Drosophila melanogaster: one gene and its partner. The protein of the gene in region 1 purifies or fractionates together with the protein of each later gene. This does not show direct contact. Each region holds a gene or a part of one and is shown on either strand. Other genes may lie near its edges.

What was found.
Region 2: the proteins of Pur-alpha (region 1) and qkr54B purify together in Drosophila melanogaster (affinity purification with mass spectrometry, with the first as the bait; one large-scale study listed by BioGRID). This does not show direct contact.

Annotation. Positions count from the first base shown.
Region 1 is NC_004353.4:556,389-561,215, reverse strand, and holds the start of Pur-alpha (Purine-rich binding protein-alpha), read right to left. Parts: upstream 3,201-4,827; 5' UTR 3,048-3,200; intron 2,994-3,047; exon of another isoform or gene 2,916-2,993; intron 1,553-2,915; exon of another isoform or gene 1,323-1,552; intron 1,122-1,322; 5' UTR 959-1,121; coding exon 916-958; intron 868-915; coding exon 805-867; intron 746-804; coding exon 633-745; intron 499-632; coding exon 396-498; intron 1-395.
Region 2 is NT_033778.4:17,467,449-17,475,239, reverse strand, and holds qkr54B (quaking related 54B), read right to left. Parts: upstream 5,617-7,791; 5' UTR 5,523-5,616; intron 5,495-5,522; exon of another isoform or gene 5,036-5,494; intron 4,674-5,035; exon of another isoform or gene 4,664-4,673; 5' UTR 4,631-4,663; coding exon 4,354-4,630; intron 4,299-4,353; coding exon 4,174-4,298; intron 4,069-4,173; coding exon 3,617-4,068; intron 3,547-3,616; coding exon 3,445-3,546; intron 3,386-3,444; coding exon 3,165-3,385; intron 3,105-3,164; coding exon 2,995-3,104; coding exon of another isoform or gene 2,806-2,994; intron 2,748-2,805; coding exon of another isoform or gene 2,431-2,747; intron 2,154-2,430; coding exon of another isoform or gene 2,093-2,153; 3' UTR 592-2,092; downstream 1-591. Other genes in the region: Tes (testin), read left to right, coding at 6,173-6,467, 6,538-7,181, 7,247-7,791.

The DNA of each region.
Region 1 (4,827 bases):
AACGTTTTTTGTTGATTATATTTGGTTTTAAGAGATGGGCAAACGATTTACTCTCTGATTAGACCGAGGTAAACTTTAAAGCCTTATATTTTCTAAAGTATACATTTTTTCAAAATTCTAAAGGGTGGGCAAACGATGTTGTTGCAATTAAAAAAAAAAATTGAAAAAAGCGAAATGTTTGATTTTCGAACATTTTCGAACTTTTTCGAAAATTCTTATCTCAAAAACTGGACGTGGGCAAAAAAAACTAATTGGGCAAAAAATGGGCAAACGATTCCAGCTTTCAAATTTCAAAAATTATATTTTTTCCGAACCCAGCTTCTTTGAGCTGTAAAGTTTTCGTATTTAAAATAATATTGATAAAAATAAACATTTTACAATGGGACTGTATATACCTAGAGAAGCGTAGTAATCGCTAAATGAGGATAAATGGTCACGAAATTCGGCTGCAGTTGAAAGAGCCAAGTAAATTTGACTTCGTCTACCATCAGCGCCAATCTGAAATTTTTAAAGCTGTTATACATAACGTTCCATGGTTGTGAATTTTATCAAAAGGTGCTGTTATACAAATCAAACAAAAGCTTTTCTTTATAAAATAGAAGTGATAACAAAATTCTAATCAGATGATTTACCTCAGCAACCTTTATAAAACGGCCTCTTCTATTTTGTTTTACATCCAAATAAAATCGTTTAGATTGTATTTGCAACATTTTCGTAGCCAATTCCTGTTCGACGCCGCTTCCTCCTGACGCGAAAGAATGTGACGTGTTCAGATAGTATAAATTATACATGTGGCATTTTTACCTTTAGCAGAAGAATCGAAGTCGTTCCTACTTGAGGAACCCTCCATATTTGCAACATTATATTCTAAAATATGGAAGTTGTTATATATTTATTAATATGCGGCTCACTTACTTGATCCTGAGATGCCATCATCTCCACTTCCCAAATCGGACATTACGAGACCACCTATTTATAAAATCTCGAAGCTTGGTAGATAGTTACGCTTCCTTCCTTTTCAGCGACACACTTTTAATGTTACACTACTCTTGTGCCTCAACACGACAGCATATAGTTAATAGTATAACCATTCTTTTTGTCCGGTGTACAACATTCCCCTGCTTTAAATATAATATAGATAATTATGATTAATATCGTAGAGTAGCAGCACAGCAGCTGTGTTTGTTTTTTTTTCTGTAAATTCGTTTTTGTTTACTAACTTCCTTTAATACCTAAATCATATGAGTAAATTTCGTAGGATCTAATTTTGGCTACATAGAATAAAAATATACCGACCTAACAATCTTACCTATAGTACCTACCATATTGTATGTTAATATACATACATATATCCTGCCAAAACATATCACAGTGGACGAAAGTCCTCGTAGTGACGTTGCGCAGCAAGATAGTGTCCAAAGGCGACAACTATATATGTATGTACATGATGAAATGCATATGCAGATGCAAAAACTTAAGGGCTTGCATCCAAGACCATTACATGTGTATATCGTTCGGAAGAGAAGCGGTGAAAGTGAAAATACTATACTATTTTAAAATTGTAAGCCGCGTTCCCAAAACGATCACAGCATAATATATTTTTTTTAATATTCTACGTGCTTTCTCGGAACACTTGCATGAAAGGCCAGCGAAATATATTGATAAATGGTGTCGAGTATACTTCAGATATTATAGTTTCCTAGTTGAATATAAAATAATTTTTCGTTATAAAAGTACAAATCAGAATTTTTGTATATTCGTTTTTGTTCAATCGTCAGAAGTTAATACCTCGTTAGTTGTTTTTGTTTAATCATGCTGTGACGCCAAGATCTATCTAAAGAGTTACAAATATACATGTAAATATGTATGTATATATTCTTGTTCAGGATGGCATGAATTAATTTTTACTTTTTACATTAAAATTTATTAAAATTCATAAAGCTTGTAAAATGTTCAATGACCTTTAGCATTAAAATGTATATTGATGTAATTTTTCTTTACTTATTTTGAAAAGATTTTATTCACTTTTAGTTTGAAATTTCTTTTTACCAAACGGTATTAATTTAAACAATAAGAAGAATCCGTATAGACATATGTACATAAGTAAAGTCATAGGACGTAACGTACATATAAATGTAAATGCATATATAAATATATATATTATGTACATATTTATATATATATGTACACACATATATGCACATACATACACTTTGAACATGTCTACTTTTTTCCAAACTGCTTATAACGTTCTTGTACATACATAAATAAATAATTTTTCCAAGGCATTATATTTATCTGGCAATAAATTATGTGTAATTCCCTGTCAATTGAGTGAACTACCAGTCCAGGAATTCATAAATTTGTATAAACAAACTAATATCCCGTTAAGTACAGGAATTAGATGTTTACATTGCATGAGTACGTGTTTGACATGTATCAGCTGTTCACCATCGCATTCGTTGAATTGATTCGACTACCCAAGAAAACAGTTTCAAGGTTTTTGCATGTGTACATATGTATGTATGTATGTATGCCACTACGGGTAAAACCATTTTACACACACAATTTGAACTTAGCAAGCTGATTTTTGTATACATATTCATCTAATACGAGCGAATACGGGAACTCAAACTTGAATTCAACATTGTCATAAAACAGTTTATGTAATAAATTGGGAAAATGTGCACCAAATACGAAAGGTGGGAACTTTTTAAATGGAGCTTCCAAAAGTACACATATTAGCAATGCACACTTAAAAATATATGTAAGTGCTCATGAAAGGAGTGCTAGAGCCAACTGCAAATAAATGGAGGAGCTTTATACTGTTTCCTACTGCAACACTGGGTATTTTTACTCTAGCACTTAAGTTCTTAAACTTAAGTCCAGGAAGAAAAAAATTATAAAAAACGTACAACATCTACACACACACGCACTGCCCCTTACAAATGACATCGACACTCCCTTATTTTATTTGTTCGTCGGATAAAACTGAAAATTCGTAGGTTCAGAACGGAGGGGAATGGAGCCCAAAAGAGCTGAAATACCTTAACGCCTTTGTAGGAAGACTGATGCAAATCCGAGTTTTGGAGTGTTTTTGAGTCACAGCGAAAGCTTGAGCATGTTGTACAGTCAATGTTTATGTGTAGATTGAGTAAAATGGCCTAGTTTGATTTGATTTGACTAGCCATCCAAAAGGAACGCTCGATCTATGTACGTGTAGAATCCGGCAGAACGCGTTAGGGAATTTCTCGGAGCTCCGTTGCGAGCACGTAACGAAAGACAACGTAACCCATCCAACGCGTCGTCTGACCGAAAAAGCTCCGATAAACTGCAAATAAGTCAGCAAAGCTCCTTTTTCCTAGTCTTTCTATTTGCGGCGTTATTGGTGTTGGTTGCTGTTTGTGGTTCGTCGTGCATGAGCAGCAGAAAGTGGAAAATTATAATAAATCTCATCCAGAATTCTGTTTTGATTCCGATACATCGCGAATTTAAATTAACGACTAAACGTGCAACGGTGCTGTGAGGCAAATTAATAAATTCTGCGGCATACTACTGTTCTTCGGGTGTGTGTGTATTCATACACGACATGTGTGCACATACATATGTCTGCATGTACATTCGAAATTGAAATTATGCAAAATGTGCATCATACTGCGAACGCTAGTTAAGGAGCAGTGCTTCAATTGCTACTTCGATGGAAATGTAACTGTTACGTACTGTGTTCGCGATTTCCCCCGTACTTATCCTGTGCCTAAACCGTCGAGCGAAACGTGAGTATATGACCACCTATATACTCACACATTTTCTACATAAATACAAATACACGCAAACTTATTTTTGTTGGTCGTCTCTCAGTTCTCTCCTCGTTTATGGTCATTCTCCGTTCCTCTCGCTGCCATCTGCCACATCCACTTTGGAAAGCGAAAACAGAAACAGCATCTCTGTGAACCCACAGAAATACATATGTAAAGCAGATATGTACATAGATGTGTATATATGGATGTGAAAAAACGAGAAGAGTAGCGACTAGTCTTTTATCTTTTATTTTGGTATCGGGACTGTATTTCGTATCCGTAAATCCGAATCCAAATTGTCGGGACAGCACAGACTAGAGTATAAAGAATAGTATAAGTAAAAATAAATTGATACATACACTTATAGATGTATGTGCGCAAATGTACAATACACCCTGTCAATGCTTTTAATTCGTATTCGTATTTGTGTATATTTTGACTTATTTTAAAATATATCACAATGCCCTTGTAGTCGGAACTCCGCCTTATCGGGCTCAAAAATGACTAATCCCTTCCAAGCTTTAATCATGTGCGTACCTGTAGAATCCTAGATTCTTGAGGATAGTGCTGCTATATTGTTTTCTTTCCTTTCGTGAACAGGGAGTTTCTAAGAAAAAGTTATGTAAAATTAGTCCGAAAAATAAAAATTTTTGGTCTGCCTTGATAGCCCCAGCGATTTTCAAAACTGCTTCCACATGTTATTTTTGAACGCCAATATTCTGTTAACTGAAATATTAGGAGCTAAAAGACAAACACTCCGCAAATAAGAGTGCTTTACTCAATTTTACGTCGCAGAACGTAATATCTAAACGTGAAATTGAAGGTGTTGTCAGTCCGATTTTTTCCTCGCCAAGGGAAATTTCTGTTTAACTTGAGGGATTTAGACAGGGTAAAATCTGGATATACTCGTATATTTACATATGTATAGCCGCTTTCCCGCTGAAGTAGCGTAGTTTTTCATAATGGTTACAACTAATGTTTAAAATACCGACCTGTGTGACAGAAAACAAATAGGATTTAAAAAACGTGT
Region 2 (7,791 bases), on another chromosome or scaffold:
CGAAATAAATTATGTATATTGAAAGTAAAACATAAAGGAAGAGGTTTTAATTAAGATTGGGGGGTTCCATCCTAGCTGGGAATAAAAAAACACTCTACTACATCGATTTTCGATACATTTTAAATATATTTATTTATTCATTTAGTTATTACTTGTGTTATTTAATTTTACATATAATAATTAATGAGAATAACTCAATCGCCATATATTATTTCTTTGAATTCATTTTGTAGGTATGTATATCATATAAGTGTATATATTCTTATTGTTGTTAGGGCGGGGTGTTTTTGTTGTTCGGTTATTTCATTAACTTGGTATCATAAATTATCTGGGGGCTTGGGGAATCGCCCTAAAGTAGCATTTGTTATAATTTCATATTAGTTATCTGTATAATTTGTAACAACGATAATTATTTGTAATAAATGGTTGTAATTCCTTTGTATTATCTGTATTACTGATATTTCATTAAAACTAGATTTTAATTGTTTTTAACAATTTAACGTTTCACATGGTTGTATGTAAGTAAATGTTTCTTAAGGTTTTTGGACAAGATATCGTTTTATTCATCTTCTTATTCGAATTCGAGTATATGTTTATTTCATTGCGTTAGCAATGCCAACTTTATTCGCTCGATACTCAAATTAGGTTACATAAATATTAAAAATGATAATATCTATAAATTGGCATTTCAATTGGTAATTTCAGACCGGGAAGGGATCCGTCCATTGCCATCCACTCCCTCCGAATCCCTTCCTACAAACATTTGGCACACTCTCTTGGTTCTACTTAAGCTCTACAGAGAATTCTCATTAATCTAAAAACTAACTAAAGTGAGAAAACAGGAAACGAAATTTTGAGTTTTGGCAACGGATCAAATTGTCGATTACGAGTTATGTTTAGTTTTGTTACTTTTGTTAGTTCAGTGTATAATTAATGGAGACAACTGGACAAAGCAGACGACTCATTTTTGAACAATTGAGGAAACGAAATTTTGGGTTAATTACTTTGCTTTATCCAGCGTCATGGGTTAAATGTGTTAAGTACATTGAATTACATTGTTATTACGTTAATTTTGTATTGAGTTACATTGTTGGTTTAGTTAGAACTTTATATTCGTGTATAAGTAAATGGAGTATTTGTTATTCATACGCTTACGCTTGCGTTTAAGTATTCTTTTTTACTCTGTTATTGTTTTCGTATCTGGTGTTTTAATAAAGTAATCATTTGCAGCACTATCCACTTATGGACATTGTTTCACAATAAACTTGTATATATTTTGTAATTTGTTAGTTATTTGTAGTTCTTTAGTATTCGATATATTAATTCTGAATGCTCGAGTATTAGATAATTTTTGTTAGGGTTATTCTGTTACCTTTCGTGTCAACATGGGGTTAGTCGATCTCTGTTAATTATGTAAATATTAGAATTTGTAAGTGTATATATATATATTCTTTATCTGTATCGTTAGTTTTGTTAAATATATGCATATATAAATAAAATTATGGTTTAAGTGTGCCCTCTGTATTTATTATTATATTCTATTAAGTTAATTAATCTCATAGATTCTGTCTCTACCGACCGTCAGTCGGGTCCTTCTTTCCCTATACATAGCTTTGTCTTGCTGTATCAACTGGATTCGCTCTGTATCATCTGTACGCCAGACTATCCCAGCTCAACTTTGAGCTGAGCCGTGTGCTTAACTACTGATCACTCCCGACCGAATACAGCTCCCACTAATCATTCAGGCTCTTTAGTATCTTTAAGATGGTTTGTAAATAGAGATAAAAAACTGGACACAGTTTCGTCTGTGTTTTATAGCCAACGCGAAAGTATGGTTTTCGATTTGTTGATCCAGCCTCATCATCATTAAACGTTAATCCTTGCACGCAAAAATATATGTATAAATATATTTGTTATGTATATGTTTTGTATGTGGTATATATCGTAAAGTTCATTTTGTCCATTTTGTAAATACTCCTCCTACGCCTTCCTCTAATCTTATGAACTCAAGTGTACAAAGTTTCTGTGATGTTCATGTTGATGTGATTTTTCGATTTGCTTGTTCTGCTTGTAGTTCTTGTATCTGTTGGGTTCAGAAAAACTGCACGGGCAAGAACGGAAATGTGCCAATATGTAGCGAAGGATTAGCAGGTCTGTAAGAGAATGTTAATTTGGATTTAGAGAGATGTTCTTGTCTTTGATTTGCGGTGTATAATCGAAAGGGTTTTTTTTGCGTTTTCGGATCAATGCAAATCAATACGGGAACTTTGACGGATAAGCGGAGAGGTATATGTATGTTAGAAGCAAGCAAGCGGATTCACATAAAGCCCGTGTATTCATTTGCATTGTCCAAAGACATCGATTTAGTGTGGGTTGTGTGCAAGGACGAAGGAGTTCTCTTCTGCGTTCGATAATATCGCATTTCAATACCTTACTAAGAGCATATTGGGCACTGAAGCGGTTGTGGTGGTGTTGTTGCTGTGGTTTTTACTGCCTAATGTGTGATTGTTGATATTGTTGCTGTTGGCACTCTTTTGGCCATCCATTGGACCAAGTCGATAGGAGGATATAAATGAAACGTCGTTGGAGTTTTTCTCACCGACTGGGTGAAAGTTGCTATTGCAATTATTGTGGCTACTGGTGTTAATCATATTGCTGGCCCGGCTGCCATTGCTGCTGTTGTTGTTGTGGCCTGATAGCTGCGGTGGGAGATTTGGTTGCGACTGTTGGAGTTGTTGCTGATTTACCTAAAAGATAGTTGGGATTATTTTTATGGATCAGTCTGTTTATCAGTTGGGTACTCACCTTGGAACTGCCGTTGGAATTGTAGTAGTAGTTGGGATTTATGTTCTTGCCATTTTGGCACTCACTTGCTCCGTGATTTGGCAAAAAGTTGTTGCTGCTATTGGGTTGGGATTTCATGGTCAAATTTTGGGTGGTTGCCGCCGGGTTTGTACCTCGACCTCCGCTGGCACTACTAGGGTCCAGCAAATTTCACCTGTTAACATGGCTGCGATTGTGATTGGAACTGAGACCAGAGCCGCCGATGGCATTTGATTGAGAAGCGCCGCCAGTGCCCAGACCTACACCTCCGCCGCCGCCAGCTGAAGAGATGACTCGAAAAGTAACATACTGTCTGTAGAGGTAACCACTCCGTAACTCACCAGAATAGCCGGGTGAATGCTGATAGTATTCTCGTCTTCCATAATCCGGCTCGTAGTCGGAGCTTTCGTAGTGCCCACCCCGACCACCGCCACCGCTGATGCCGCCCACTCCGCCCAGAATGTTAGCTGGCGGTCCATGGGGTCCATGTCCATGAGTGCCATAGGAGTAGCTATCGTACGACTGGTGGGGATCATAACCAAGTCCGTCGTCATAGCCCCGACTGCAAAATGTGTTTGTTAAGTATGAATCCTTGATAATATCTATATCTAAGTAACATACCCATAGGTTTCGTCCATGGCCGTCCTGGCTTTTTCCAATATGGACATCACTTTCTGCTTCGGAGCCAGAACATTTTTACTAAAAGATGACGGCTGTGAGCTCCTAAAAAGGGTTAACGAAAGATACAAGTTAGGTACGTTTTTGACGCTAAATCTAGAAAAATATAATTCACCTATAGCTGTGATGCGGCGTGTTCTTGACCCCTCCAATCGGGTTGATTGAGCCGCCACCCAAGACATTGTTGCCTCCCTGCATGTGAGACGTCTTCTTATAGCCACTCTTGGCATTATCGTTGTCATTGAGGCTAGTGCTGTCCATCAGCTCGCGCAGCTGCTCCTGTCGGATAATGTCGTTACTGTCTGGGATCAAATACTTTCTCAGCTCGGCCATGGCGTAGGCGATTCGGGCGTAGGCTTCTGCGGGCGGCGCTATTGTCGATATCTCAACATGCAGATCGCTGTTGAGGTGAGCGTACTTGGGATCCTTGGAGCTGCGCAATTCCTCTTCTTTGACTCGATCGCGCATAGAGTTGCGGCCCAGGACGGTCATCTTGCAAAGGGTCTCCTCCTGAAGGCGGCGAAGGGAGTTGCCCTTGGGCCCCAGCAGTTTTCCAACGAAGTTGAACTGAATAATAAAAGATTAGCGGTCATGAAATGCGCCAGTCATAAAAATTGTACTCAATTTGAATTGGTTACAATTACTAGGTAAGCTAATCAGTGTGAAATTCACCTTGGGATGTTCTCTAATGGGAACTAAAACACGTTGCGAGATCCGCAGCGGCTTCTCTCTATAGATATCGGCATACTTTTGCTCTCTGGAAGGAATCCTTCCTGTGGTCTGGACCTTTTCTATCTCTAAAACAAGACAAGAGTAATAAGATAATGCTTAGAAATGATTAGAATTACTTACCGCCTTCCAGCAGTTTCTCGGCAATGGGAAACTTCCTGTCCATTCGATTTCTTTCCGCCATACAATCGCGTATGTACTCATTGGCTTTCTCGTTTATTTGGACATTGCCGCCGGGATCTCCTCCATGATGGCCGTGATCGTGGGCGGAAGCGTCGCCATTGTGGGCGCCACCTGGTGCTCCAATAGATCCACCAGGCTTGCGAGGCTTGCCGCCAAAATCGTTGTCATCGTCGTTGAAAGCGGAAAAGTCACCGTTGCCGTCGTACTTCTCGGTCATGATTGTTTCGACCGTTTCCCTAGGAGCTGCGGTCTATAGGAAACTAATGATATAATGTCTTACATCTAAATACATACATCTTCTAAACACATATTATAAAATTTTCAATTTGTAATAAGATTATTCTTTAAGGACATAAAGCTTTTTTGGATACTGTAAGAAAAAGGATTGCTATTTCTTGAAACTATACGTATTTTGGAGATACCCGATCAATCAAGGATTTCAATAGTATTCTATCTGTATTACGAGATTACTAAAGTCCTTAGGTTTTTTAAGAAAACACTCTTTTTAATTTTTGTAAACTATCCTAGTTTCAGTGGATGAGTTTTCAAGGAATTTCAATATGCAATTATATTATTATTAGCGAAAATGTAATTATTTATCGTAATCAATTAGGCGGCGAACCACTAACAACGCTTTTACCAACACACTCCCGCGCCACACACACACACGTACAGTCCCACGCACACACACACACACATACACACAGTCACAGGCATTGGGCAAAAACAACCACCGTGCAAAATTGAGCGAATGGGAAAATCAAATTGTTGCCGTAGTTCCGCACACAAGAGCTTTGGTTTAGCAGAACCGGTAAAAAGGATATTATCCTTTAAGATTCAGTATTAACAAAAATAGCGCCTGATTTTAGACAGTTTTCCCCTGCAACTGCTGGGTGTCCAACTGGTGCCCTCCGCACGCGTCCCGCGACCCATGCTGCACTTTCACTTTTCAGTGGGACGCAGTTTTTCACCTATTTTTTTTTCTGTATTTGCAAATTGCATCGAGCGCTTTCTGTTGCTTCTGATGCTTTTCTGCAACTGGACTTTCCAGTGCTTGCTCAACAAACAAACCCTTTTCAAGTTTGCCGTTAGTTTAAAAAGTTAATTACCGCTGTTAAATGGCCCTTTCGATTATTGCTCTTAATTTAAAAGGTTGCGAAAAAACTGCAATTGAATTCGCGAAAAAAACAATTGTGGAAGTGTGACCGCGGATCGAAAGCTCAAAAAAGCCCAATTCGCAAAAATGCCATTGTCTTCGGCGGTTAGTACAGTAAGCACTGAATAATCAGAAATTATTTGGGATATGAAAGGGTAGTAGTTTTAATTTATGTTTATTTTCTTTATTGCTTACATTATATTAATTATTACAGAATTATTTATTTACCGTATAAAAAATGAAATTTACAAAAATTTAACTTCAATGATTGCAATAAAATTAAAACTAGTGAATGCAAAACAGCAGTATCATTATTATTACAAAGAGAATGAAGTGTAATATTTTCTTGTATATGAATTTCTTTATTAACTAAAAATTTATTTGAAAGCAAAAACCCAATAAGAACAATGCCAATAAGAATTTAGCTGATAAGAGACCCACCTATCGATGAGTGCAGCATATCGATATCACCTCGATATACTTCGGTCTATTTCAGTATATTTGCCTAAGCCACCGCTCCTAGGAGAGCCAAACCAGCGAACACAAAGGATCTATAAAAGTGGGATCTATATTAGATGTATTAGCATTGAGCCAATCCCCGAAATGTCCGCCGTGAGCCCCAACTCTTGTGTGGAGACGCCCAAGGCGCCGGAATGGCTATCGAAGCTGGAGAGTCGTCGGGAGCAACTGAAACGCTCCAAGCTGGGTCACGAAGCCGGAGCTGGAGCCCCCTGTGCCGAGTGCAAGGACAAATGTCCGGGGCTGGACTTGCACTTCTGGCGCAAGGTTTGCCGCAACTGCAAGTGCCCCAAGATTCAGCATGTGTGTCCGGACGACGATGATGCCACTGGCTGGGCGCAGTTCGAGATTCTGGGCCAGATTAGGGCCAAACCGGCGTGTAAGTAATTGCGAAACATATTTATAACATATAAAGGTTAGAAATGAAAACATAACACATACTGTTGCAGATATCAAAATCAAAGCTCTGGCCAGTCAGCCCGTTCAGCTGGAGTGGGTGCCGCCAAATGCTGCTCCGGATGTGGTCACAGATTATATGGAGAAACTGGGCACCGCCCAAATACCTGTGGCTGGAAGCGATGCCGCGCTCAAGCGGAAAATGCAACTCGAGTTGCAAGTGCCGCCACACGACCTGGATGCCGCACTGTGCGATGGATTGACGGAAACGGAGGCCATCCAGCTGCAGCAATACGTTCAGAAATTGCGAGAGCAATGCGTCGGACAGGGCGTTGTTGTGCGCCTTGGAGATCGTCTTAATCACGCCCAAGTGGAGCACGTAGCTCCTGCCTTGATGCCAACCCAGGAGGCGCAACAGACCTGGCAATCATTGGGCCTCATGCCCGTTGCGGATGACACTTTGAACGAACTGCTTGCCAATCCCAAGGTGGCCCAGGCTTTGGCAAGTCCTGCGAGTGCCCATCCCAAACTACTGGTTGCGTTTTCAGAGCCTCTATGCGAATCAACAGCCCAATTCGAGGAAAACGGAGCTTTGCGAGCCCAAACTAGAGAAAAGCTGTTGGGGATTAGCAAACCGGCTCTGCTTAGCCTTGTGACTCATGGTATTGTCTATGACAAGGTTCTGGGAATATTACAGGTAATTAAATTAGCAAAATCGTTAGCAAGACCAATACAAATCTGTAACATATTTGTTTACTGCAGGAAAAGAAGCTTAACATCTCGAGGGATCCAAAGCTTGGTCCCATTGCTGAATTTCGCAAGGAGTATGTGAACAATCCGCAATTCAGAGCCGAGATCAACACCATCTGTCCTCAGCCGCCCATGACACCTATAAAATCACCTCCTGGTACACCATTCAATTCTCCATTGCCGTTGAAAAACCCAGTGCAGATCAGAATGGGAGCACAGATGCGCCAGGATACGCCTATGCGAAGGGTCAAGTTTGGTGGGGTCTCCACCATAGTTTATGACTGCGGACTGCCTGCCAATACGGACTATGATCGTGATCCTGTCTTTGCGCAAATTCTTCAGGCGGAACCGCTTAAACATGCATTCCAGGAAGCGCGTGCTGGACGTGCTCCCTCCTCGGTGGTTATCTCCAACATCCCAGCTCCAGTGGCCAGTCTTGCGGAGCTTAGGGGTCTAAACCCAGCCACCAGGGCTCAACTTCAATCCGTGGGACTTGACAAGAACATGCTGCAGTCCGCCGTTTCCAACGCTCCATATTATGATCGCCTGTTCCGCTC